Lonchura striata: one gene and its partners. The protein of the gene in region 3 interacts with the protein of the main gene of each other region in a pairwise test. Links are inferred from orthologs where the notes say so. Each region holds a gene or a part of one and is shown on either strand. Other genes may lie near its edges.

What was found. The genes of interacting proteins can lie anywhere in the genome.
Region 1: the proteins of TOLLIP (region 3) and TOM1L2 interact in binary tests that used the Homo sapiens proteins (3 or more experiments, as listed by UniProt). The link is inferred for Lonchura striata from reciprocal best matches to the Homo sapiens genes TOLLIP and TOM1L2.
Region 2: the proteins of TOLLIP (region 3) and TOM1L1 interact in binary tests that used the Homo sapiens proteins (3 or more experiments, as listed by UniProt). The link is inferred for Lonchura striata from reciprocal best matches to the Homo sapiens genes TOLLIP and TOM1L1.

The regions. Positions count from the first base shown.
Region 1 is NC_134618.1:15,628,183-15,635,934, forward strand, and holds the start of TOM1L2 (TOM1-like protein 2), read right to left. Parts: upstream 3,344-7,752; 5' UTR 3,289-3,343; coding exon 3,237-3,288; intron 1-3,236. Other genes in the region: DRC3 (dynein regulatory complex subunit 3), read left to right, coding at 4,777-4,933, 6,295-6,411, 7,712-7,752. UniProt on the Homo sapiens protein: Acts as a MYO6/Myosin VI adapter protein that targets myosin VI to endocytic structures. May also play a role in recruiting clathrin to endosomes. May regulate growth factor-induced mitogenic signaling.
Region 2 is NC_134621.1:7,132,513-7,140,722, reverse strand, and holds the start of TOM1L1 (TOM1-like protein 1), read right to left. Parts: upstream 3,344-8,210; 5' UTR 3,288-3,343; coding exon 3,230-3,287; intron 3,150-3,229; coding exon 3,065-3,149; intron 901-3,064; coding exon 822-900; intron 1-821. UniProt on the Homo sapiens protein: Probable adapter protein involved in signaling pathways. Interacts with the SH2 and SH3 domains of various signaling proteins when it is phosphorylated. May promote FYN activation, possibly by disrupting intramolecular SH3-dependent interactions.
Region 3 is NC_134608.1:45,932,627-45,940,983, forward strand, and holds the start of TOLLIP (toll-interacting protein), read right to left. Parts: upstream 3,422-8,357; 5' UTR 3,254-3,421; coding exon 3,221-3,253; intron 1-3,220. UniProt on the Homo sapiens protein: Component of the signaling pathway of IL-1 and Toll-like receptors. Inhibits cell activation by microbial products. Recruits IRAK1 to the IL-1 receptor complex. Inhibits IRAK1 phosphorylation and kinase activity.

The DNA.
Region 1 (7,752 bases), on a different chromosome or scaffold from region 3:
TGTTTCTGCTGTGTCACCACTGGGAATTAAATAGAGGGTACCATATAAGCCAGTCTAAAAATCATGTGAGTTTCCGCCATGAGGAACCTGGCTGCCATTTCAACTGGCACTTTAGATGCAGGAGACTCTATCCATCTCTATTACAAATCCTCTGAGCTCATCCTAGCATTACTTTCCCACATTAAGCAAAAGAGTTAACATAAAAAGCCTGCCTAACTTCAGACATTATCCAGATAAAGAGGAGAAAAGAGAAAATCCCTTGTATTACCTCTCTCAGCTCTCCTCAAACCTTTTCTGACATCTTTGTTCTTACAGACCTGGTATTTATCTGCAGATATTGTAGAGCCCTAATTAAATCTTCTCGTGAACTTCTGCTACTTCCTGGCAGAGAACACACATTCTTGGTGTGCTGATGGACCTACAGGATTTTCTGCACTTCTCCCTTATGGTGAGTGTTAGGCCTTGCTTGAAAACATCACAACTGTGTACAACACAATATGTTTAAACAGAAATACAAAATTATTCCATTTCTTTCAGAGAATGAAGAGAAGCATAAGTGAAAATTATATTCCACAAGCTCATTGGAAAAACAAACTGTGGAAGCACTGGGCAAATAGCAGTGTCTGAGAACAAGGCATGCTTTTGTTTTACTGCTGTCTCAGAAAGGGATAACTGGCAGCGATAGGAGAAGCAGAAAAATTTGTCTTCCAAAATAAAATCTGCAGTTATCTCTTCCCCCTGGGAGTAAAGAAAAACATTGTGAAAGTGCAGCTGAATTTTGCATTAAGGGAAGCTGCACACCTAACCTTATCTGATGGAAGCAGTTCAGTGTTCAAAGTCTCAAAGTTGGCAGCGGCCGCTTGCTCAGCGAGCGAAGGGATGTGAGAGCTGTGAAAACCTTTGCACTCTGAAGTTAAACAGGCAGAAGGCTAAAAAAGCAGATTTTACTCCTCCCTCCCTGCCCCCCAACAATTCAAACCACTGACTGATGCTAAAAGAAGCTGCCAATGAAGAGAGGAGAAATTGCTGCCTGCCCTCCCCAGGCTGATGGCAGAGGCCTGGCAGGGCTGCCAGGACACAACACAACAAACACAACAAAGCCAATTCACTCTAAAATTTTATAGGGACAAAAGCAGACTGTAGTTTATGAAGGTATTACAACACGTATTTTTGGGTATTGTTGTGATGGCCAAACACAACAAAACAAATTCACTCTAAAATCACCTTTCTCTTGAGTTGTTCTCATTATTCTCCTCTGATTCCCCGCACTTCTCTCCCTCAGCAGAAGAAATAAGCAGCCCAGATGGCTGAGGATAAACAGCAAGTTATACATATGCTCCATATAGCCTGACAAAGAGGGCCCAGCCATGCTCAAAGCACAGTGTGAGACTCACCCATGCAAGGCCCTTACACCTCGACCAGGGGGTGTCCCTGCACATGGGGATGAGGAAAGGACTAGAAAAGAGCTTTGAGGCCATGAGCTGATACTCTGCAAAGTTTTCTCCACTATGATTTTCAAAGATTTCCATCATTCCATAAATCAACTTAGAATAGCTAGAGGCTAGGCTATGCACAGCTGTGGGTTATAGAACCACAGAATGGTTTGGGTGGGAAGGGACATTAAAGATCATCTGATTCCACCCCTGCCACGAGCAGGGACACCTTCCACTATCCCAGGGTGCTCCAAGCCCTGTCTAACCTGGCCTGAAACACTCCCAGGCACTGAGCAGACACAGCTTTTCTGGAAAACCTGTGCCAGGGCCTTCCCATCCTCACAGGGAAGGATTTCTTGATTCCTTCCCAATATTCCATCTACCCCTACTCTCTTGCCAGTTTGAAGCCATTCTCCCTTGCCCTGTCACTCCAGATCCTCTCTCTTCATCTTTCCTGCAGGTTCCCTCCAGATATGGGAAGGCCACAATTAGGTCACCCCAAGGCTTCTCTTCTCCAGGCTGAACAATCCCAATTCTCCCAGCCTTCCCTCGCAGCAGGCGTGCTCAACTGAGCATCACCTTGGCTTTGGGACTGCCTGCCCTCCTGCACTGCAGGAACCTGAGCCAGCCTGCTCCTGCAATGTCAGACAGCTTCAATTTCTTCAGGGCCCAGCAGAGAAAAGCAGGAGGCACTGAGAGCCCACCCAGCTGAGGTGAAAACTCAGAGTTACCAAACTCTGCATGAGTGATGCCCAGGCTTTCTCCTTTCTCTTCTTTGCCCCATGGCAACCCAGAGCAAAACATGAGTAGCCATGAAAGAACACGTCTGTGGGAGGGAGGGATCAGCCACAGCAGCCCAGGGAGGCCTTGAGTGGCCACGCAGTGAAAGCTGGCTCAGAATAACCTGCTAATGGCACCAATGCATTACCAAAGCCACAATTCAGCCTCCAGGTTGAAAAACGAGCACTTATTTGTGTCTCTAAACCACATCACCCCCTCGCCCACTAAGAGGGACAGGGAGGTTTCAGTACTTTGGGAAAGAGTGCATCAATGATGGGGTGGTCTGGAAGAAGGCACTCAACTTCAGGAAAAGGAGCTGGGGGATGCAACAGCTTTCCTGCATCCATCTCGACATGGAGTCAGTCTCTTCCCATGGACAGCAGCCTGCTCCCCAGGCCTCCTCTGATCTCTCCATACCCTCCACTAACCCCAGAGTCCGGCACTGAGGCCTCCAGCACTCCCCAAACGCAAAAACCTTCCAGCCCTTCCAAGCCCCCACCAGCCCTGAGATCCCTGCTCCCCAGAGACCCCCGAGAGCCCCCAGAGCAGCCTGGCCACCCCCAGACCCCCATCAACCCTCACCGACCCCCCATAACACCCAAACACCTCCACTAAGCCCCAGAGCCCCTTACCGAGCCCAGATTTCCCCCATGGGCTCTCAGGGACTCTCCACCCACCGCTCCCACAGCTCCTCACAGACCTCCAGAGCCCCCCCAGCCCCTCACAGGCCCCCAGAGCCCCCCACAGAGCCACAGAGCCCCCACAGCTCCTCACAGACCCCCACAGAGCCCCCCACAGAGCCACAGAGCCCCCTCCAGCCCCTCACAGACCCCCCCCCCAGCCCCTCACAACCCCCCCAGCCCCTCACAGACCCCCAGAGCCCCCCACAGACCCCCCCGAGCCCCCACAGCCCGTCACAGACCCCCGGAACGCCCCGCTGCCCCCAGCCCCGCCCGCTGGCCGAAGCCCCCGCTGTCTCCACGGGCTCCCCCGGGCCCCTCCGCGCTCCCCAGGCCGCCGTACCGAGGCTCTGCCCCACCGGGGTGCTGAAGGGGTTCCCCAGCAGAAACTCCATCTTGGGATGACAACAAACAGCGGCCCAGCGCCCGCCCCTCCCGCACCGCGCCCTGACTGACAGCCGCGCGCACCAACCACAGCGCGCTCTGCCGGCCGCGTCCCGTCTCCCTGCGTTCAATTGGACAGCTCCAGGACGCGCGGCAAAGCCATTGGTTAAAAAGCGTGTCCATCACTGTCAAGTCAGAGTCCTGCCCCCGCGGTAGTCCCGCCTCTTTCCCCGCCCTCACTTTGATGGACAGCGAGGACAATGAGACTGCCATTCCTTATTGGGCAAAGCCCTAAACGATCTGTAACATTATTGGGCAGAACGGAACGTCAATCATCAGAGCCCTCTCCGCCCCTAGGGCACGGTCCCAGCGCTGATTGGCTGACACGGATTTCTCTAACTCTGATTAGTCGTTGGCCTCCTCACCCACTCCACGCCCATTGGCGGCTGAGCCGGTCACGTGCCGCCCTTAGCAACCCAGCCGGGCTTCCTTAGCGACGGGCGCTGAGGCTCTGTTGGGAACCGGGAACGGCGAACCGGGAACCGGGAACCGGGAACGGGGAACCGGGAACCCACCCAGACCCCAGGGGACCTGCGGGTGAGAGCCCTGATAGGCCGGAATCTGATCCTCGGTGGGTCCTGGAGCGAGAGGCGGCGGGCAGGGGTGCTCGGAACCGGCGACAAGCGCACATCCCTGGGAGAGCCCAAGGCCAGGCTGGGGCTTGGAGCAGCCTGGGCTAGTGGAAGGTGTCCATGGCAGCTTTAAGGTCCCTCCCAACCCAGTCCTTTCTGTGATTGTACCAGAAAGAGAGAGAGGAAGGTGAAGGATGGATAAATCCAAGGCCGGCTGCTCCTCGGCCTGTACTGCACACAGCCACAGGGAGGTTTGGTTTGTTAATGAAATGCCATAATGAGGACAGACCTCTCCAAACTCTGACATTTATCATCGCTGGCCCATGCAAAAATAAATCAGAACTTACCCTGTAATTATAAACATCTTACACAAGCAAAAGTTTGAAGATTCAAGTCCTTCACAGCAATTCATTAACTCTGCACCATTTGAAAAAGACAAATAGTCTCATTAGGGATATTTAAATTACATTATATAAATATACATATATATATACATAAATAAATATAAAATAATATATAATATATATTATGATATATGATATATATAATGTATAATATATATAAAACATTAGGGATATTTAAATTTCCATGAAAAATTTCTTCACTGAAAGAAGCATTGGAACAGGCTGACAAGAGAAGTTGTGGATTCCCCTTCCCTGGAATTGTCCAAGGCCAGGCTGGATGGGGTTTGGAGCAACTTGGGATAGTGGAAGATGTCCCTGCACATGGCAGAGGATGGAATGAGATGATCTTTAAGGTTCCTTCCCACCCAAACTATTCTGGGATTCTGTAACTGCTGGAAAGAGTAGCTAGGCAGTGATTTACTTTATTTTCTATTCTGTCCTTTAAGGCTGATTTTGTCTCACAATGAGTCAGTTTTTCAATATTATTGAGCCACAAATTATTGATGATGAAATGCTTCAGAAAGCCATTGAAGAGAAATGTCCAGAGGACCTTGGAGATATTGCCAGAGAAGAAAGTCTTAATGTTAAGGTTGTAACAGAGCTACAATTTAGTTTTAAAAGTAAGTATCAGAATATGTACATATTTTGCCTCTTCTTTTGCTAGAAGGTAATAGAATAAGTGGGTAACTGGCAATTAAGCAACCATTATTAACTTGGATTTATTATGTGAAAATTAACATCTGGACTTGGACTTTAGCTCACAGCTGTACACAGGAGCTTCATCAGAGGGAACTTTTGCTGATGAGTGACTTCAAAACTGCTTCACTTCCCTCTTCTCGTCACTGCTGTTCTCATTTAACATTTATATTGTGGTGACACCTACAGGCCACAGGCCTGTTGGGCCCCTCAGTTCGTGGCCAAACCCAACCCTGGGCAGGCTCTGCCACGGCTGGTGATTGTGTGGGAGCTGTTTGGGAGATTTTGGTGATTTACAGTCCAATCTGATGTCATTCTCTGGTCATCCGTAGCATTACCATGGTGTGCCTCTTACTGTCAAACCTGTCAAGTTGTAAACTTGCACACAAAAAAAAAAAAAAAAAGGTAGAGGAAGAACATTTGGCTCAATATTTGAGTATTTGAGGGAGGGGGGTAATTTCAGTAAAATAATGTATGTATGGGTCAATTTTCTTAGAAAATACTCCCTTGATCTGATCCTGCATAGATTTGTTTGCAAATAAAAAATCCAGAGCTGTGTGAATATTTTGGGTGTGCAATTCCTCAGTTTATGGTGCCCTCACTAAATAAGGATAACAGGACAGCAGATGAAATCTTCTGGGAAGCCATTGCAGGGCAAAAGAGAAATGGGAGTGAGAATGTTCTGTATTTCCTGTCACCTTGGTCCTGATACTTTGCTGTGGTGACTAACAGCCTGCCCTTGTGATTCTGTTTTTGGAGGAAACTAAATGCAGGGATATTGATTAGTTCTAAACTGCAGCCTTCACAGAAAAAAAGTAGATTCCAGCTTCCTCTCCTGTGCTGAGAATCCCAGGAGCAGAAGAGTCATTTACAAAAGCAGGAGCTGGGCACTGCTAGACTGCAAATGCAGAGAAAAGCAGAGTCTCATCCCAAACCTCCTGCTTGGAGCTGGAGAGGAAAATGAAGGTCAAGGCCTCCTAGTAGTGGATTCATAAAGGCACTGGAGTGCAGGGCCATAGTCAGCATCCCCTGCACGCCTCGTTGGCCTCGCTGATGAGCAGCGTGCTCTGGTGCAGGACACTGAGGTTAAGTGGGCTGTTTCATTGAAATCTCTGCACCTCTGAGCTCTCCAGGGCACTCATCACACGCTGAAAATCCTTTTGGAGGCAAGACTGGACATGTTTTCCTTGTGCAAGGCAGTGTGTCTGCTAAAACAAAGCTGGCTCACGTGAAAAGCAATTTTCTTTTCTTTTTCTTTCCTTTTTTTTTTTCCCTGTGGCTTTAGACATCCTGCGGATTGATAATCTGTGGCCATTAGAGAATCTGACTAAACTGCAGCTGGACAACAACGTCATTGAAAAGATAGAAGGCCTGGAGAGTCTGGTTCACCTTGTATGGCTTGGTGAGATACAGACAGAGGAGGGTGGATGCCTTTGCAGGTGCAAAGCAATCTGTGATAAACCAGGATGTCACCTTCCTTCTCAAACACGACTGATAGGAGCTTACCTTGGGAAGGCTGTCAGCTGTCTGTGTGTCTCCTTATTTGACTGTCAAATGTCAAAATGCCTGAGTATCAGAGCTGCAAAACAATCCTTCAAATGTTTAAAAACTGGGTTGAATACATTTCATGTGGCAGGAACAGGAAACTGAGGTTTCAAGGTTGTTTCCAAGGTTTGTATTGTGTTTAGGGGTGACTTTCAGGAATATTTATGGAAACACCTCTGTGATTTAGAAGCCTGCATTCTGTTTTCAAAGCTGCTGCAGGCATTCCAAAACCTACAACCCCTATGTCCTTAAGGGCTTGGTGTCATCCTTGTCCCAAGGAGTGCCCATCCTTGTAGCCTTATGTGACTGCTTGCAGCTACACAGATGCACAGCTTAGAGCATTCCCTGGAACTGCAGCCACGCTGCTGGCTGGAATTCTAAATATATCCTCAACATTGTGAAATGTCTAATGGGTTCTTCCACCCAGTTGTTGTCTGCACTGTGCTGCTCCACAGATGACTGAGGCACTTGTGAAACACCAGCTGATCAGTGTAAGCACCGTGTTTTGAAGCACACTCACCTATTTTGTTTGCCCAAAGGCTGCAGTGGCTCAGCTGCTGCTGTACAATTGTCTCAGCCACCCAAGAGACCTCACAGACTGTTTTTGGACTCTTGGCTTGCTCGGTACTAGTTCAAAGGCAAATCCTGCCCTTAGTCATGGTGAGTGTAGGTGTTAGATGTTCTGGCAGGGGAAGAGGACATTTCAATAAGTGAAACAGTGAAAGTGAGCCTTTGCATAACTCCACTGACATGGAAGTGCCTTATCTTGGCCCTGTGGGAGTGACCACAACTGTGGCATTGGTGTGGCAGGGCAGAGTCTGCAAGAAACAAGACAGTGTCAGATTTATCACAAAAATTCCCTCTAAGGGCATTTCCTCACCCTTTGTTTTGTGTTTCCCCATAAGGCAGAAGTCCTTTTCAGGCTGTGTGGACTCTGCATGGACTAACTTCAGCTTTTCCTCTCATTTAAAAGTTTCACAGATAATTGCAAGGAGAAGATGGGAATAAAGGATGATTTAATGCTGAGCATTTCCTGTGGGACCTGGACCACCCCTGAGAAAAATCTGTACATAAACTCCTACATCCAGAACTAAAGGGCAGAATCAGGGTGTTCTGCAAGAAATAATTTAATGTTTGTTTTGTAAATTCTTCCCCAGACCTGTCCTTCAACAATATTGAAGTAATTGAGGGCCTGGAT
Region 2 (8,210 bases), on a different chromosome or scaffold from region 3:
ATGGTGAAGAAAATACTTTTAGCCGATTAACGAAAAATTAATTCTCAAGAACTTAAAATGCAAAAGATATTACTCTTGTCATAGTAGAACCACTGGTAGTCAAGAGTAATTCAAGTCAGAAATTCAGGACTTAGGACAGTATTAGAACTTCCTGCATTAACAAGTAAATCTTAAATTGGCTGAAATCACAACAGCTCCCCAAACCCTGGGGCAGTTCAGGAACACTGTCAGATTCTAGAGACCACATGTCAAGTAAGGATATTCCCAGACACTCCAACCTTTAGCCATAACATCTGAAATTCACACAGCTCACTCTGCCTCTTGCTCCCTTATGTAACCCACCTTTTCCTTCAAGTTTATCATTTATTTGTGATAACATTTCCTTTTACCAAGCACGTATCAGACATTCCACCAATGCTGCACACCGTGCTTAGTTTGACTAAGATCAGCACCACAAGGTGAGTAATAGAATGGTCAAATGTAGCTTTTATGTAATATCCTAACCTCCGTGTCTTTCACAAACAGGTGGGGCTCTCACAGGACAGTCGCTGGAGCAAATAAGAACTATCCTACTTTTACATAGAACAAGTCACCTCCCCACCCATCCCCCTAGCCCCCCTCACCACCAGAATTTGCATCATCCAGGAGTCCATGGAATGCCAGCAAACCATTTGATCTGCACTGTGGCAGTGCTGTGCACACAAACAACAAAGACTGAAAACATCCTGGAGAGTTGTGTCAGGGATAATTTGCATGCCACCTTATCGTTTAGACTGTTTGCCTTCTTAGTGTCTAATTAATATAAATATAGCTGTACTTACAGACAAGGTAAGCCTGATCTCCTTGTGGTTACAGTTTTTTGAAAGCTTCTTCTTCAGTGCTTTAACTGCATCTTTAGGTCTGTGACAAGAAATGAAAGAGGAAAAGTTACCAGTGAAATTTTCTAGTTCATAACTTCATCCAAGAACCAAAAATATCAGCCTGAGATACAAGACTAAATCCACCCCATGTTTACACCCACATAAAACCAGAGCAATTGCCCAACTGATTTCAGCAAAATCTCTTCAGCACTGAACTAGAGCAACAAAGCAGTGAATCAGGTTTGTTACAGCAGACTGTGCATTACTCCAGAGACTTGTGCAGAGAAATGAAGTTATTCTCCTCTGCAAAAGCTGCTCCAAAATTACATTTTCCACTGTTTTAGAACAGAATTACTTATCTAGCTTTTATTGCCATGAAAGGAAATATCAATTGCCAGATGTAGCAAGAGTTGACTGGCAGTTTGCCTGTATGATGCAATTAGAAAATATTCTCCTGGGAGTGTTGTCAGGAGTAGGGGTGTCATGGGTAGCTTCCAATCTTATAATTGCAGGATGCACTTAACTCATCTGAGTAACTACCACGGATGGACAACCCACTCCAGCCCAGAGATAGGGGCATTTCTAACCCATCCATTTTCATTTCTATATATACTCCCCGTATCTTTTAACTATCTGTGTAGGAGGAAAAGGGTGGAAGATGGTATCGAGGTTATCACATGTGGGAAGCAGTTTTGCCTCATCAATATGGACTACCTATAGTGTACAATTATTAGGGCCAGCCCAACACTCATGATCAACATAAACAAGATGTCCTAACGTCTCTTTAGGATCTCTCTAGAATCTAAGATGGAGCAAGAGGCCCAAATACAATGTTTCACTAAAAAAATAAAAAGTAATCTTTGTTGAAATAATTTCAAAGTCAGTGAAATTAAGTGGGTGTTTACCATTACTGCATCTCTTTGTCTGAAGTGCTATACTTCATGAGAAAAAGAGAAAAAACAAACCAAGAGACATGTCTCTATTTTTCTTAATCATGCATCATACCCAGGCACATCAGTAGAGCATCAAGTGATAGATGGAGGCACAGGAGTGGAGAAGTTTCCCTTGCAGAGAGCTGTACTATAATCCCACTCCTGCTTGCTTCCCTCACTGAAGCATCTGGAAATGCTCTGGACAGGGGCTGGATATTGCATTAAAATAACCATTTCCCTAATTAGATGCAGCAGTTCTGCTGCTCCTACTATCCTGTTACAGACTGTGACTAGTAGTAGCTGCCTAGGAGGAAGTTACAAGGAACTCCCCTGCAAGCCTAAGCTGTGCACAAAAGGAAACAGTTTATTAAAAAATGGCTCGGTTGCATGGAAACTTTACATAAAAACTAACACTGAAGGCCAGAGCGTGTTGTTGCTTATGGTAATAACCAGAAGGAAGTCATTATTACTGACCTTTCAAGCACTAAGAACTACGGGTGAGAGGAGTCCAAAACAAGGAAAGAAAAGTTGATACATTAAAAAAGACACCTGTGCAGAAAGTAAACAATACCTCATTGCTCTGGAGAAAACTCTTTAGCTAGTATTAAAATATGCCACTGCTAGAATGAGTTCCTGCAATGCAATTCTGAAGCAGATCTTGCATGAGAACAAGTTTCCTTTTTTCCCCTTTAACAGGTGGAAACAAGGAAGTTCAGAGCAGCAAGTGGCTGAGCAAGCCTGGACGTGGCCGTCCGGTGCTAGAGACCAGCTCAGTCCTGGGAGCACACCTGGAAGGGATGGACCCCACCGCAGGATCCCAGCCCACCTTCAGCCTCCACCCCGGCTGCGGCACAGCCCGCCGGAGACCCCGCACGGTGGGGAGGGAGCTCCAAGGCGAAGAGCCTACAGAGTTTTAAATAGTGTTGTGGGCAGCCAAGTGCTCAGAGCCTTTTTCCAGGTGGGTTTGCAGAGCACAGGGACAGCCCTTCAGCCTGACGAGCAGTACGGGTTGTACAGAACACGTCAGACCCAGATAAGAAATCTTTGTCACCAGTTTCTCTAGCGAAGAAATCTCTGTCACCAGTTTCTCTAGCGTGTGTCTACGGGGAAGAACCTCCGAGCCTAATCCCGAAAAGCCCTGGTGGCCCCGCGGCAGGCACAGCTTTTGCCCGGAACCGAAGCTGTCCCTCTGCGCTATTCGTTTCGGGACGCTCCACACCGGCTCCCACGCCGGCCGCTCGCTGCCGCGCTGCCCCCGAGCCGCTCGCTCACCCCTCCTCCGTGGCGTTGATCAGGTCGCAGATGTGCAGGAACTGTCCCCACTCCTCCGTCTGCAGCGAGCCGAGCGTCGCCCGCTCTGCAAGGCCAAGGGGAGCCGAGGGTCAGCGCCCGGCGGGGGCAGAGGGGCGGCGCGGGGCCCCGCTCCGGGCTACTCACCGACCAGGCTGCCCACGGCCGTGCCGAACGCGTCCCTCGGAGCCTTCCCGAACGCCATGCCCGCTGCCGGCAGCGTCCCGCGGGCTCTGCGGCCGCCCCGACCCGGCCGCTCCCTCCCCGGCCCGGGCGGAGCCGCTCCAGGTGCCGCCGCGGCCCCTCCGGCCCGGGCACCGCCCCGCAGCGGGGCCGGCTCCCGCCCGGGCCTCCCCCGGGACGGGAGCCAGCCCGGCATCCCTGGCAGCGCTGCCCCCGGCAGCCCTCAGGCACAGCCTTCCCTCGGAACCCAAGCCGTCCTTCACATCAGCGCCCTACGCCGGCTCTCGATGTCGCCCTGCCCTCGGGCGACCCGGGGCCAACGCCGCGCCCCTCACCCCGGCTGGACCTAAAGCAGCGCCTGTCCTCCCCGGGGCACGCAGCCACGGGCTCATTCTCCTGCCCCGTGCGCAGGATTTAACCTGCGAGCCCCCCGCTCATCGGCAGCGGTGGCTCAGCCGGCTCCCAGGTGGGATTGCACGGCTGACTCCACGAGGAATTTGGTTTTCGGTGAGGCGAAGCTCAGGAACGCGCTCAGAGCCGCTTCTGGTGCCCGCACCTCGCTGCGCCCCATGTGCAGACCCGGGTTCAACCTCTGCATCGCCCCACGTGCAGACCCGGGTTCAACCTCTGCACCGCCCCACGTGCAGACCCGGGTTCAACCTCTGCACCGCCCCATGTGCAGACCCGGGTTCGGCCCCTTCACCCTCCTCATGTGCAGACCCCGGTTCAACCTCTGCACCGCCCCATGTGCAGACCCGGGTTCGGCCTCTGCACCGCCCCATGTGCAGACCCGGGTTCAACCTCTGCACCGCCCCATGTGCAGACCCGGGTTCAACCTCTGCACCGCCCCATGTGCAGACCCGGGTTCAACCTCTGCACCGCCCCATGTGCAGACCCGGGTTCAACCTCTGCACCGCCCCATGTGCAGACCCGGGTTCAACCTCTGCACCGCCCCATGTGCAGACCCCGGTTCAACCTCTGCATCGCCCCATGTGCAGACCCGGGTTCAACATCTGCATCGCCCCATGTGCAGACCCGGGTTCGGCCTCTGCACCGCCCCATGTGCAGACCCGGGTTCAACATCTGCACCGCCCCATGTGCAGACCCGGGTTCAACCTCTGCACCGCCACATGTGCAGACCCGGGTTCAACCTCTTCATCGCCCCATGTGCAGACCCCGGTTCAACCTCTGCACCGCCCCATGTGCAGACCCGGGTTCAACATCTGCATCGCCCCATGTGCAGACCCCGGTTCAACCTCTACACCGCCCCATGTGCAGACCCGGGTTCAACATCTGCATCGCCCCATGTGCAGACCCCGGTTCAACCTCTGCACCGCCCCATGTGCAGACCCGGGTTCAACCTCTGCACCGCCCCATGTGCAGACCCGGGTTCGGCCTCTGCACCACCGCTGCTCAGCCCCGGGGCTGCCCCTCAGCCTCCCGACAGGCGCTTCCAAACCCCCACGTTCTTCCCTGATCCGCACATGTGAAAAGAATACGAGCAAAGATCTCAGAGAAACGGGAAAGATTCCCAACGGCGCCTCCAAGTTCCATTGATAAAGTCACCCTCTTTGTGTCCTGCAGGAACCTCCTGTAACACACACCTTTCCACGTGTGGGACGTTCTTGCTACAATTACTGTCAATGACTTCCATTGTGTCGCTTCATCACAAGCCTATCTCACACCTGTACAATACTTGGGAACAAACGATGAATGAAAATTAAGATCTCAGCTGTAATTTTTGTTGGCTGACAGCTGTAATTATTTCAGTATCAAACTGAATCATATTAACTAGCCTTTGAGTAGAGCTTAATGAGTCATACAGTCAAGACACGATGTAAGCAAATAAATTATTTGCCTGACATTAGAATTTAATGGATTAACAAGCTCTATTTGCACTAGGAGAGTTTTTCTTAGGATGAATTAATTTTACTTTCTTTTGTGGTTTGTGCAACTCTGTGGCCCCATCTACTGGATGGTTTTAATGCGAATGCAGGAGAAAACCACATTTTTTGGTGTACTTGCAAGTATCTGTATGAAAAACAAGTTATTTAAGAACTCTTAGGCAAATTGCTCATGTACCATGAATGTAGGAATCTTTTTCTTACTCAGTCTGTAGTAAATAGGTGGAATCCATCATGCAGCCCAGTGAGGCTCCATTTGAGACTGTTCTAATGAACACATCTCGATTTTCCACACTTCTGTTATCCTGTTATTTGGCTAAAAGCCAGACACCAGCTTTCAAAACAGGAGTCTATTTATTTTTATTTGCAGAATTTTGAAAGCTATCCTCTAAACATAGGTGTTTCATTAATTTGCTCTTTAACACTGGAACTGTAATGAGGGACTATTTAAATTAGCCCTTGTTAAACCTGCAGCACAAGTCAGATCTTGTTTCAAAGAGCATATTTTATTGAGCTAATCAGGGGAAAAAATTCCAGTAAAGTATTTTTTCATTGGAATTTACTGATTAAAGTTACTAATTGAAATCAGCTTTTGGTATAGATCTGTGAACTCCTAGTGGGCTTCAGGTTCCGCTTGAAGCAAAACCTCTCTGGCTCTTCAGCCTTCTCAGGACTGGAATCCTCAGAATTCATGAGGATCAAAGAGTCCCAGGAGAGCCCCAGTGCACTTCTTACAATTTTACTGTTATTGAAGAGATAGTATTACATTTAATTACTACTATTAATGAATGGATATTTTCTGCCTCTTGCAAGCACATAGAGTGTTATAAAAAGGAAGAGGTTAAAGAACTTCTCTTTGCAAAATGTTTGAAGCAAAAGTGTTAAGTGGCATAGCTTCTGTCTTTCTCAGCTCAGCTAACATGTATTATACCAAAGAAGCAGGATTGATAATGTGGTTTCATTTGTACCAGAGATTTTGATGATGTTATGTCAATTTCAAATAAAAAAAAACCAACCCAAATTGCTATAGCTATGCAGAGATTCTTTTTTAATTTAGTTTTGCTGGCTTCACATTTTAGTTATATCGCATTAATTATTTTTAAAGTCACATCTTTACCTTATTTATCTTTCAGTCCTATTTTCAAAGAATCACATACATGTACAGAGGACATTGAGTGAAATACTTAAACCGCTGTCATTCATAAACTGATTTATGGTATTGACTTCTACCTGCTTTTATTTATAAATATGAAAATTAAAAGCCATTGCAATGATTTTTTAGTTTAGTTTAAAAATAAGATATTCTTAAAAGGTCATTATTTATCAGACATTAAGTGAGGAGCTGCAAAATATTCTCTCCTCCATCTCCCAGGGGCTGTATTTACTCTCAATGCCTTCACCAGGAGCCTATTTTAGTATGACTCTTCCTTGTTATCCAGTAAAAGAGATGCAGTCGGTGGGATTCTCACTGTGGCTCATTAGACCAGATGCTGCTTACAGCCTGTGCTGGGAGCTTTACTTGAACAAACAGCTCCAGGGTTATATCAAATCCCTTCTGCATCATCTCCATTAGCTCGTTGCTTCAGATAACAGCAAACCTAATCAGGAGCTATTTGGGCAAATTCAATTAATGTTTGGGACCCAGTTGCACTAAGAATGCAGAGCTGCCCCCAAATATCTATTTAAGTAGTTACTATTTTATTAAAAAAAAAAAAAACTAACAAAAAAAACCCCAAAACAAACAAACAGAAAAAGGAAGGAATGTCGAAATGCTGTTATGTCAGCATCACATTAAATTTAATGTGTAGAAAAGGAACAAATCTGGCAGTGCCAGAGAGAGGAAGAGGCCTGCAGAGGGCAAGCTTGGTCAAGGAATCTCATTTTTCATGCAGCAGCTACTTGAAGTGAAGAGTGGCTGAGGAAAATTCCCTCTCAGCCATATTGGCTTTTCTCTTTTACTGAGCTCTAGATACAGCTTGTTAGCATTGCTCTCTTGCAATTTGAAATAATTGAAAAAAAAAACCTCAGTAAGTGCAATGCCAAGCAATCAAAAGGTAGGAGAGGGTCAGGGATTGTTGTGGATGAGAGAGGTTTTCTCACACATGACCCTGCTGCATTTCCTGGCTCACTGCCCTAAGCAGCTCCCACTGCCCTGGGACTCTCAGGTGAAGTTAGACAAATCTGTATTTCTCCCACTCCTAAAACACTGAGAATTTCCAATTAATTTTTTTTTCTGTAATAATACACTACAGGAGTCTCAGCTAATTTGAAACTAAAATCATGTCTACCTTGTTTTACATCAGGCTGAGGCTAGAATCTTGCAGAAAATAAGAATTTTACATCTATTCAGGGGTTTATTTTTCTGGTTTTTGTTTGTTTATTGTTGTGGGGTTGTGTTTGTTTGGGGTTGTGGCTTTTTTGATTTTTTTTTTTTTTTTTTTTTTTTTTCCCCAAGATATGTTACATCCCTCTGGGATTTTACCCTCACCATGTGGTGTTAATCCAAAAACTTTCCTCTCCTCCCTTTCAGGAAACAACTTTCCTTTTTCCCTGGATCAAAGCTAGAGATAAATATTCTGTTGTATATTCAGGAAATTTACCTAAGCCTTTTCTGAATTTCACCTTCTCAGAGACAAAGATGCATCATCCACTTCCCTGAGCTTCTTTCCAGAGGTGTATTTTACTCTAATGGAGTCTAGATTTATAAAGAAATTATGAAATTATTATTATACTGCAGAATATGGTGAGTCTTGACTAACATTTTCTGTAGTAGGGTAAATATTAAATATATCTTATATAGATATATATAGGTAGAATCCTCAGCTTGACTATCACAGGAAAACTCACAAAGAAAGAAAGACTCCCTTAATCTTAAATTACAGCAATTGTAGATAGTTTTCTCATTAATAGGGTGCAACTGCCATATATATATGTATATATATCTATATATATAATGTTGCATAAAAAACAAGCTCAAAATTAAAAATTAGGTATGAACTTGATAACTCAGATTTTTGCAAACTAACATATGAGAAGTCAAA
Region 3 (8,357 bases):
ACTCCTTGACACATGAAGGGGAAAAAGCCAAACAGGGATTAGGAATAGCCAGCCTTTACCAAGGCTTTAAAAGAATAAAAAGCTGATGAGCCATCTGCCTTCTCCAAAACAAGAATATATGACTCAGGAAAGCACAAAAGGTATCAAAGCAGGATTATTACAATCTGAATGAGTAGACTACTGGATGGAGGAAAAGCTGACTGAAGCATTAAGCTCAGAAGCTGAAATTCAGTGGTTAATGACACTGGAGGCTCGTTAAAAGTGAAGCAGTTCAGAGATCTGTACAGAATCTAACTTATGCGTCTAATGTTTTTCCCCAGCAACAAAAGGTGAAGACAAAAGGCATCCTTATCCGTTTTGAGGCTGACACTAAATTTTACAAGAAATGGCTGGTATACTTTAGGACAGGACCAACTAGAGACACAGAAGAATTCACTGGCAGGAATTGTGTGAAATTCAACAAGGGCAAAGACCTGTACTTTGACCAGAAAAATCCATGGCACTGGTACAAACTGGAGAACAACCAGCAGGACTGCCTGTACCTCTACAGAGGTGGAGAGCAAGCAAAGCATGGATGAGCAGAGGACACTTGCAGCAATGAATCCTAACAGAAAACAGCACTGGATCAACAAGAACCCAGCCAATGGGCTGAGGAAAGGAAACAATTGCTGGACCACACCTGGAACACTGACAATTTGGGGCCCAGCAGTACATGAAAAACAATGAACTCCAGGGAGACCAGCAAAGATCCACCAAGAAGACCTATGAAAAGGGCTGGAGCACTTGCAATGCCAGGCTGAGGATTTGTTTGGAATACAAGAAAGTTAGAATGCACCTTTGTAGCACCTTTCTGGTGTCTGCCAAGAAGTCATTGAGAAAGGTTGTCTTCCGAGATGCAACACAAAGAGAAAGGAGATGTCAATCATTAAACTGAAATGGGGCAAATTTCACATGGGAAAAAGGAGGGGGCAATAAATACCTGCAAAGAATGGCAGGAACTATGGTATACCAGCATGAGTTAAAAATAAAAGACAGAATGAGTGTCCATATGACATCTGTGTCTATGCCTGGAGAAGTGAAGGCTCCACCTGGGAGACCACAGAGCACCTCTCAGTCCCTGAAGGAGCCTACAAGAAAGTTGGAAAGGGACTTTTGACAAGGGTCTGTAAAAAGTTTTGAAGAGTCTCAAGAAAAAAACGCTGTCACTACTCATCAGAGTAGAGTTTATTAGGGACATTAGGAGCAGAAGTCTATGCAGTCCCAGGTTGGTATTAATCTAATCTGGAAGGACATGATGCATTTGCCAGCATGGTAACCATGATAACCGTGGAGAATAACCATTAAGAGTAATTTTGGTTATGACTGGCTAGATAAGGAATCACAAATATAAAGTTTTGGTGGCTCAGTCTTAATCTAAAGCCTGGTCAAACTGTTTATTAATAATCTTACTTGTAAAAGGTATCACTTAGAAATCCTTGCATATTCAGCTATAGTTGAGATTTAAAAAGCTGATTTGTTCATACAAGATTACAAATGTGAAAATGCACTAATTCCCTAACATCCTGAAAAGGGTCAGAGATATCTGTATTCTAGCAGAGTATTTAAAGTAACAGACAGGATGAATTCTGTTTCATCGGAAAAACTGAACAGCAAATTTTAATTTAAAAAATTTTCATTACACACCAAGTAAGCAGCATCACAATTAGAAAGTGCAGGTGTAAGACTGGCAACAGCCCACTCACAGTAGTTTCTCACCCACGTGAAACAACCTTGAATATTTTCTTGCTTGTTCAAACAGAAAGACTGAACTGTTCTCTCCCTCAGCAAAGAAAAAAGTGGTTCCCAATCCTTTAGCACCATTTAGTGGCTAATCATTTGTAATGCAGTTGCACACAGAAACCAGTAAATTTTATTTTCCTCTCTGGAAAGAATTAAGAAAGGCTGGGATGGACCATATCAACACTCCCAGCTGTGAATGCCTGCTTAATATTGCATAATTTATTCACTCATTTGAAAACATTCAAATATCTGAAGTGGGTAAGGAAGAAAAGGATGTTCAACAATGTCAGCAAGACATTAAAAAAAAACACTAAACTTGAAGCCCAGAAAGTCAAAGCTGTATAAGATAAATTATCATATGCCTTTTGTCAGGCTTCAGTCAAGTCTAGGAAACAAAAGATTGCCAATAGATTATACAGGACTACCTGGGAAATTCTAGAACAAGACATCTAGGAGATGTCTTGCAACATTCAAGAAAGTCTAAGCAGTTATGATAAATAAAACAAATAAGGCACTGTCATAAGAAAAGTGACAGCAGTGCAGTTTTTCAAATAGCAGTAATTCACCTCACTGTTCTTTCCACAAGGCTGCATAATTTTTTTTAAGTAGCTGTTTCTACATAATAAAATACAGCAGTGTACATTTACTGCTTTTTAAAAACCCCTCATTTCACCATAAGCAATATCATACTGTCAATGACTACCAGATCCTTTCAGACAGGAGGAACAGACAGGAACAGCACATCTGTTGAAAGCTGATGTTGTAACACCTCATATGCAGAACATCCCGGTGTGAGGTATGATTATCCCTGGGCAAAACCAGACAGTGACATATTCTCAATAAACTGCCAGCACCAGCTCCCAGAAGGCTGGTAAATCGGTTTTAGACGGCTCAGCTCCCGTCCAACCCGCACGCCTACATCCTGCACGGGACGCGCCGTTGGAGCTTGCCGGCGGCAGCTCCAGGGACAGCGGCCCGAGCGTGCCCGCCGAGCTCCGCTTCCAAGAGAAAGGCCTTTAGCTTTCATTGTAAGCATTTCCCTCATTGGAAAGGCTTTCCGTGTAACCGTTTCCCCCCTTGAAAAGGCCTGTGGACAAAGAACGTGCAGGAGAGCCGCCGCAAGGACTCCGCGCAGTTAGGAGGGACTTTCCCCTCCCCTTCCCCAAAGCCTCTTGGCAGGCGGGGAGCCGGGAGACAAGGCAGACTTCCCTCCCCCGCATCCCAGCAGCCTGGAGGAGATGAGAGGGCTTTTCTTCCCGCTCTGGCGCGGCCGGAGCTGGGGCAGGCTGAGAGACACGGAGCCTCCCTCCCTCCCTCCCACAGCGGCGCCGGCAGAGGCCGGGCGGGCCCATCGGGGTCTGCAAGCCGGGCCTCGCCCGCCCCGCGCGGCGAGCGGTAACAGGAGATACCCCCGAGCGGGCCCCGCGCCCGCAGCACTCACCGGGCCCCGCTGGGTGGTGACGGTGGTCGCCATGGCGCCTGGCCGGGGCCGCGGCCGAGACCCTTCCTCTTCCTCCTCCTCCCGCCCCGCCAGGCCGCCGGTGCCGCTCCCTGCCCCGGGCCCGCTCCGCCGCCCGTCACTCAGCGCGAGCCCCGCGTCACCTGACGCGCGAGCCCCGCCTCCGGGGCAGCGCAGCGGCGCCGCCTTGCGCATGCGCCTCTGCGCGCACCGGGAGGGGCGGGCAGCCGTCCCGCGCGTGCGCTGTTGCGCTCTGCGGCCGCCGCAGCGGAGCGCGGCGCTGCGGGGGCGGCGCGGCCGGTAGGGGGCGCCGCGGCGCTGCGGCGGAGGCGGGGCGGGCGCGGCGCCTCAGGCCGCCATCTTGTGCCGGCGGCGCCGCTCCCGCGCGGCCGGAGCGCCCCGCGGGCAGTGCGGGCCGTGAGGGGCCGCGGGGCGCTCCTCGGCCCCTCTGCCAGCCCTGTGCGGAAGGGAACGACTCATTCACTGCTGGCCTGGCCCCGGTGGGCTTCCCAGAGCTTGCTGATCAAGCACAGCCCTTTCCGGGAGAACAAAAGCAGCTTTAATATTCATCCAAGTGCTGCTTCGGGAGATAAAATCTGATTATTTCAAAGCCTGTTTAAATAACATAACTGTTTCCCGTTGTTAGGGCTGTTTCCTGTTGTCAGGATCTGCTGCGCAATTTTAGCTATTAATTAAAATTCTAGCGCGGATTTCGGCAGCTGGAAATAGAACAGTGCAATTAGGAATGCTCCAAATATAGCACCCTTTTTTTTTTTTTTTTTGCCTCCACTCTCCACTAACATTTTCTTGCAGTGGGAACAGCCTCATCTTTTTTACTGCACAGAATCAGGACGTTGCAGGGTTGAAATGAGCCTTAGAAATCACCCGGTTCCAGCCCTGCTGTGCCAGCAGGGACACATCCCACTATCCCAGGCAGAGCCCATCCAGCCCGGCCTTGAACACTGCCAGCGATGGGGCACCCACAGCTTCTCTGGGCAGCCCTCCCTGCAGTAAAGAATTTCTTCTAGGGCAAATTTCCACTCTTCCTATTTGTACCCACTACTCCTTGTCCTGTCACTACAGCTCCTTACAAGGAGTCCCTGTCCAGCTTCCCTGTTGGCCCCCTTCAGATACCAGAATGTTGCTGTTAGGTCTCCTCACATTTTCTTCCCCAGGCTGAACAGCCTTCACTTTCTCACCCCGTCTTTGTAGAGCAGGTGCTTCAGTTCCTTTATACTTTCATGACTCTTCTCTTGACTTGCTCCAACAGTTCCATATCCTTCTTATGCTGGGGGCACCAGAGGGGTGTGCAGTACTCCAGGTGGGTCCCACAAGAGTGGAGTAAAGGGTGAGAATCAATTCCTCTCCCTCATGGTCACATTCCTTTTGATGTGGCCCAGGACACAGCTGGCTTTGCACACACTGCTGGCTCATGTTCAGTTTGTCATCAACCATCACCCCCAAGTCTTCCTCTGTGGATACAAAGTCTTGACATTATTACGACGTCGCAGTCTTGACATCATGAGTGCACGATGGAAGGAAAAGAGTGTTAACAAGCTTCATTGGTATTCTGACACCTATAACCACACAAGCTACAAAATTAGTTTTGGGTGAGTCATGAGCAGTTACAGTTTTACTCACCATGGATTTCACTCCAAGACCTCGTCTAGTCACAATAATTTCAAAGAAATAAGATGGAAGACATTATTGCCTCTATGAAATTTGTATAAACAGAAAAAATATTGTAATTTTAATTCAGAAACTCTTGAGATTTGTTTTCCCCATACAGAGATGTGCAATGACTAAAGCGAGCATTGTCCCTTCCTGACGGTGCTGCCACTTTCCAACTTAATTTTTTTATTTTCCCGTTTTATTATTGTTCTCAAGAAACCTCGAATAACTTGCCTTTACGCAACATTCATACTTTGAGTGATTTGTTAAAGAAGCTTCCCCCGGTCCTGAGTGGGTGCCTGCCGGTGGCCGGGAAGCGGCGCGGCGGTGGCGGCACCGCCACCTGGCGCACGTCTCGGGAACGACAGGCGGCCCCCGAGCGGGGCGGCTGCCCCGGGGCCGCCGCGAGCCGGCGGCGCACGGGCGGCAGCGCGTCCGCTGTCAGCCCAGCAACCGAAGCGGGAATGGGAGCCGTGGGAAAGGTGAGAGAACAAAAGCCATAAAACCCTCTTATTTGCAACATATGGGCATCGTTAAGAAAAGGTTGAAAGGTAATCAAGAAGCTGTAATGACAATAAATTGCGTTTATCTTGTAATAAACATTTAGACATCAGTTTCTCCTGTATCATTCTTTCATTCTCATTTCGAGTCTCTTCTCTGTTGTTCCCAGTTCTTTATCTACCCTTCAGATTTGTGATAGGCCCATTTGCCTCTTTTTATGAATTTTTAATAGCTTAGTATCTCTGAAGACATTAGGTAAAAACTGATTAAAACCAGACATCTGGTTGTAGATGTGTGGAGGCAAAAAAATACACGGGATTGCTTGAAAATTATGAAATAGACATTTCTCCCTAGGTCGGCTCCAGAATGTGAAAGCATAGATAATGCCTAAGCTTTCTTCATAAAATCAGAAACCACTGTCTCAAGGTGCCAGAGGAGAAGAGGGATGCATATAATGTTGCCCTTGCAGAATTCCTGCCAAATTAATTCTGTGCTTGTTCAGAAACTCAGAAGAGACACTTCAAAGGCTGGGGAGAGCCTGATGCTACCAGGAAAGCGAGGGAGCGCAAAGTTCAGGTGGATAATGTCCAACTTTCATTACATGTTTATTTAGCACTTGGCATTGGGGTCGGTCTCTGAAACCTGTCAGATGGCACTTTAACCATGTAAATGGCAGCAGTTAGTGTGGTGAGAGAACTACACCTCTGTGAAAATAGTGCATTCTTCAGAAGGTCAGGCCTCCCAGTGTTTTGGGTAGGATACCCACTGGAAACCTTCAGTTAGGAAGTAAACTTCAAACTCCTTGTTACTTCATCTCTTCCCCAGGGAAAGCTCATGAGTGTGTTGAATGATTACATTTTATGCCATTTTGAGTAGCTAGCTTGATACTGGGGGAGTTTCCACAGTCATTTAACACCATTGGCTTACCGTGATTTACAAAAACAGTGAAGTCACAAGAAGGTTTTAAAATATCCTCTTAGCTGTGCAAAAGCTGGTGCATAAAAGCAGAGTAATAAATCAGAGCTGAGATTTGTCTGTTTCAGAGATATTCGCCTGGACCCATAGAGGATCTCACAGTGGTAAAGCAGGTTTTGGGTTAAGTTTCATAGGTACTATGAACATACCTACAAAACTTAATCATACTGTGGGTGGTCTGCATCACTTCCACTGCTGGCTTGGATCTTGGGCAGTATTAGCCCTTTTTTGCCATGTCCCTATAGTACTTCAGATGCCACAAAAAAGGGACAGTTCTGTTGCATGGGAAGAACATCTTTTGTGAAGTGCAGAGCCCAATTCCACCATCGTTCCATACACAGTCTTGCCAAGCTGACTTGAAGTTAAAGGTAGGCAGGGGTGACAGTGGAGAAGGACAAAGGGATCCACTGCTTTGTAGATCCAACCCATACCAGAGTGCAAGTGCAGAAAAAGGAACGGGATGTCTCAGGTTTGCAGCTATAGAAAGTCTCTTGGAGTCCTGGGGTGCTGAGCACAGTTTGTTGGGATGTATGCAGACTTACATGGGGGCTGGAAACAGCACCAAACACAGAACTAGAGATTGCAATGCTAACCTTTTGTTCATGGTGCCAGATCAAGCTTGGTAACATACAACTGAGCTGAAACAGGAACATGGAAATCCCAGATGGTGTTCGGACTGGCTGTAACAAACAATAATTTCCACTTCAATGGTGTACAAGGTACTCACAGTGCATTGCAAACTTTAATTAATCCTCAAAGTCCAGTTGGCATGCAGAAGAATTGCACCCCCCATCATGGAGGAAACATGAAACACTGGAGCAGCACACGGCAGCATTAGCCAGGAATTTCAGTCAGGATAGTGCAGGATCTATCCTGCACCGAGACTAGAAGAGAATAAATTGAATAGAGAAACAAATACAGACTGAAGATCAAAATCAGCACTGCCTCCCTCCTGACACCACACCATGAAGCAGAGCTGTTAAACAGCAGGCAGCTTACCACCCTCACAAGCACTGCAGAATTTTGTACCCCAGTGTTAGAGCTGCTGATTGAGCCAGACGAGTATTGGCAAAAGCGTTGTTGGAGCAATTGTGGGGGATTCTAGCAGCAAAGCCGAGAGCACTGCCGGGCAGTGAATAAGTGGCTATTCTTCAGTCACACTGCACTCAAAATAGCTTTCCAGCAGAGGAAAAGCAAATTCTATTGGCTTCAACACCTGGTTGAGCAACTTAATAAGGACAAAATTGAAAGTTAGAGCTGAATCATGATTTATTTTATAACTACATCTTCATCACACAGTTCATTCCAAAATGGGAGTTATTTCATTTCAAATCAAGCTTGTGCAAGGTTTTTATGTAGGTTCATTCAGCACAGAGGTGAGGAGAAAGTGCCTTGAAAACAATTTCAGACACCAGCTGCTTCAGAGGAGGAGACAAATACACAATCATAAGAAGACTTTCTCTTTTTTCTCCAGTTCTGCCATGTTTTTCCCAAATTGTATTTTTTAAATGTACTTTTAATGCACTAGGGAAATTGTAGCAGTGCAAAACTCTATTTACTGTTATTTTGGTAACACGTCCGTTTCCAGACAGCACTTCAAAAGATATGAGCAAACAGTTAGAAGAGCAGAGTATCACTGTCCTTTGCACAGCAGACACAGAAAACCACTTGTTCCTCCTATTGAAATTACCTTTTATATATTTGAAAGCTGCTATTGTTTTACCTCTTAGATTTCTTTTCTCTGAAGTTCAGCTATTCAGAGGAATGCCAGAGGAATGTCAGATTAAACCTATCCTAATTCCTTCAGCCTTTTCTAACAAGTATACCTTTCTGAAGCCTGATAATCATTGTTGTATTCCTCTTTTTTTTCTCCAGTAGGACTATACCTTCCATGAAGTGTCCAAAATTGGCTGTGTCTCATCCCAGTTTAGTTGTCTAGCTCTCTACAGACTGCTTCCACAAGAGCTGAAGA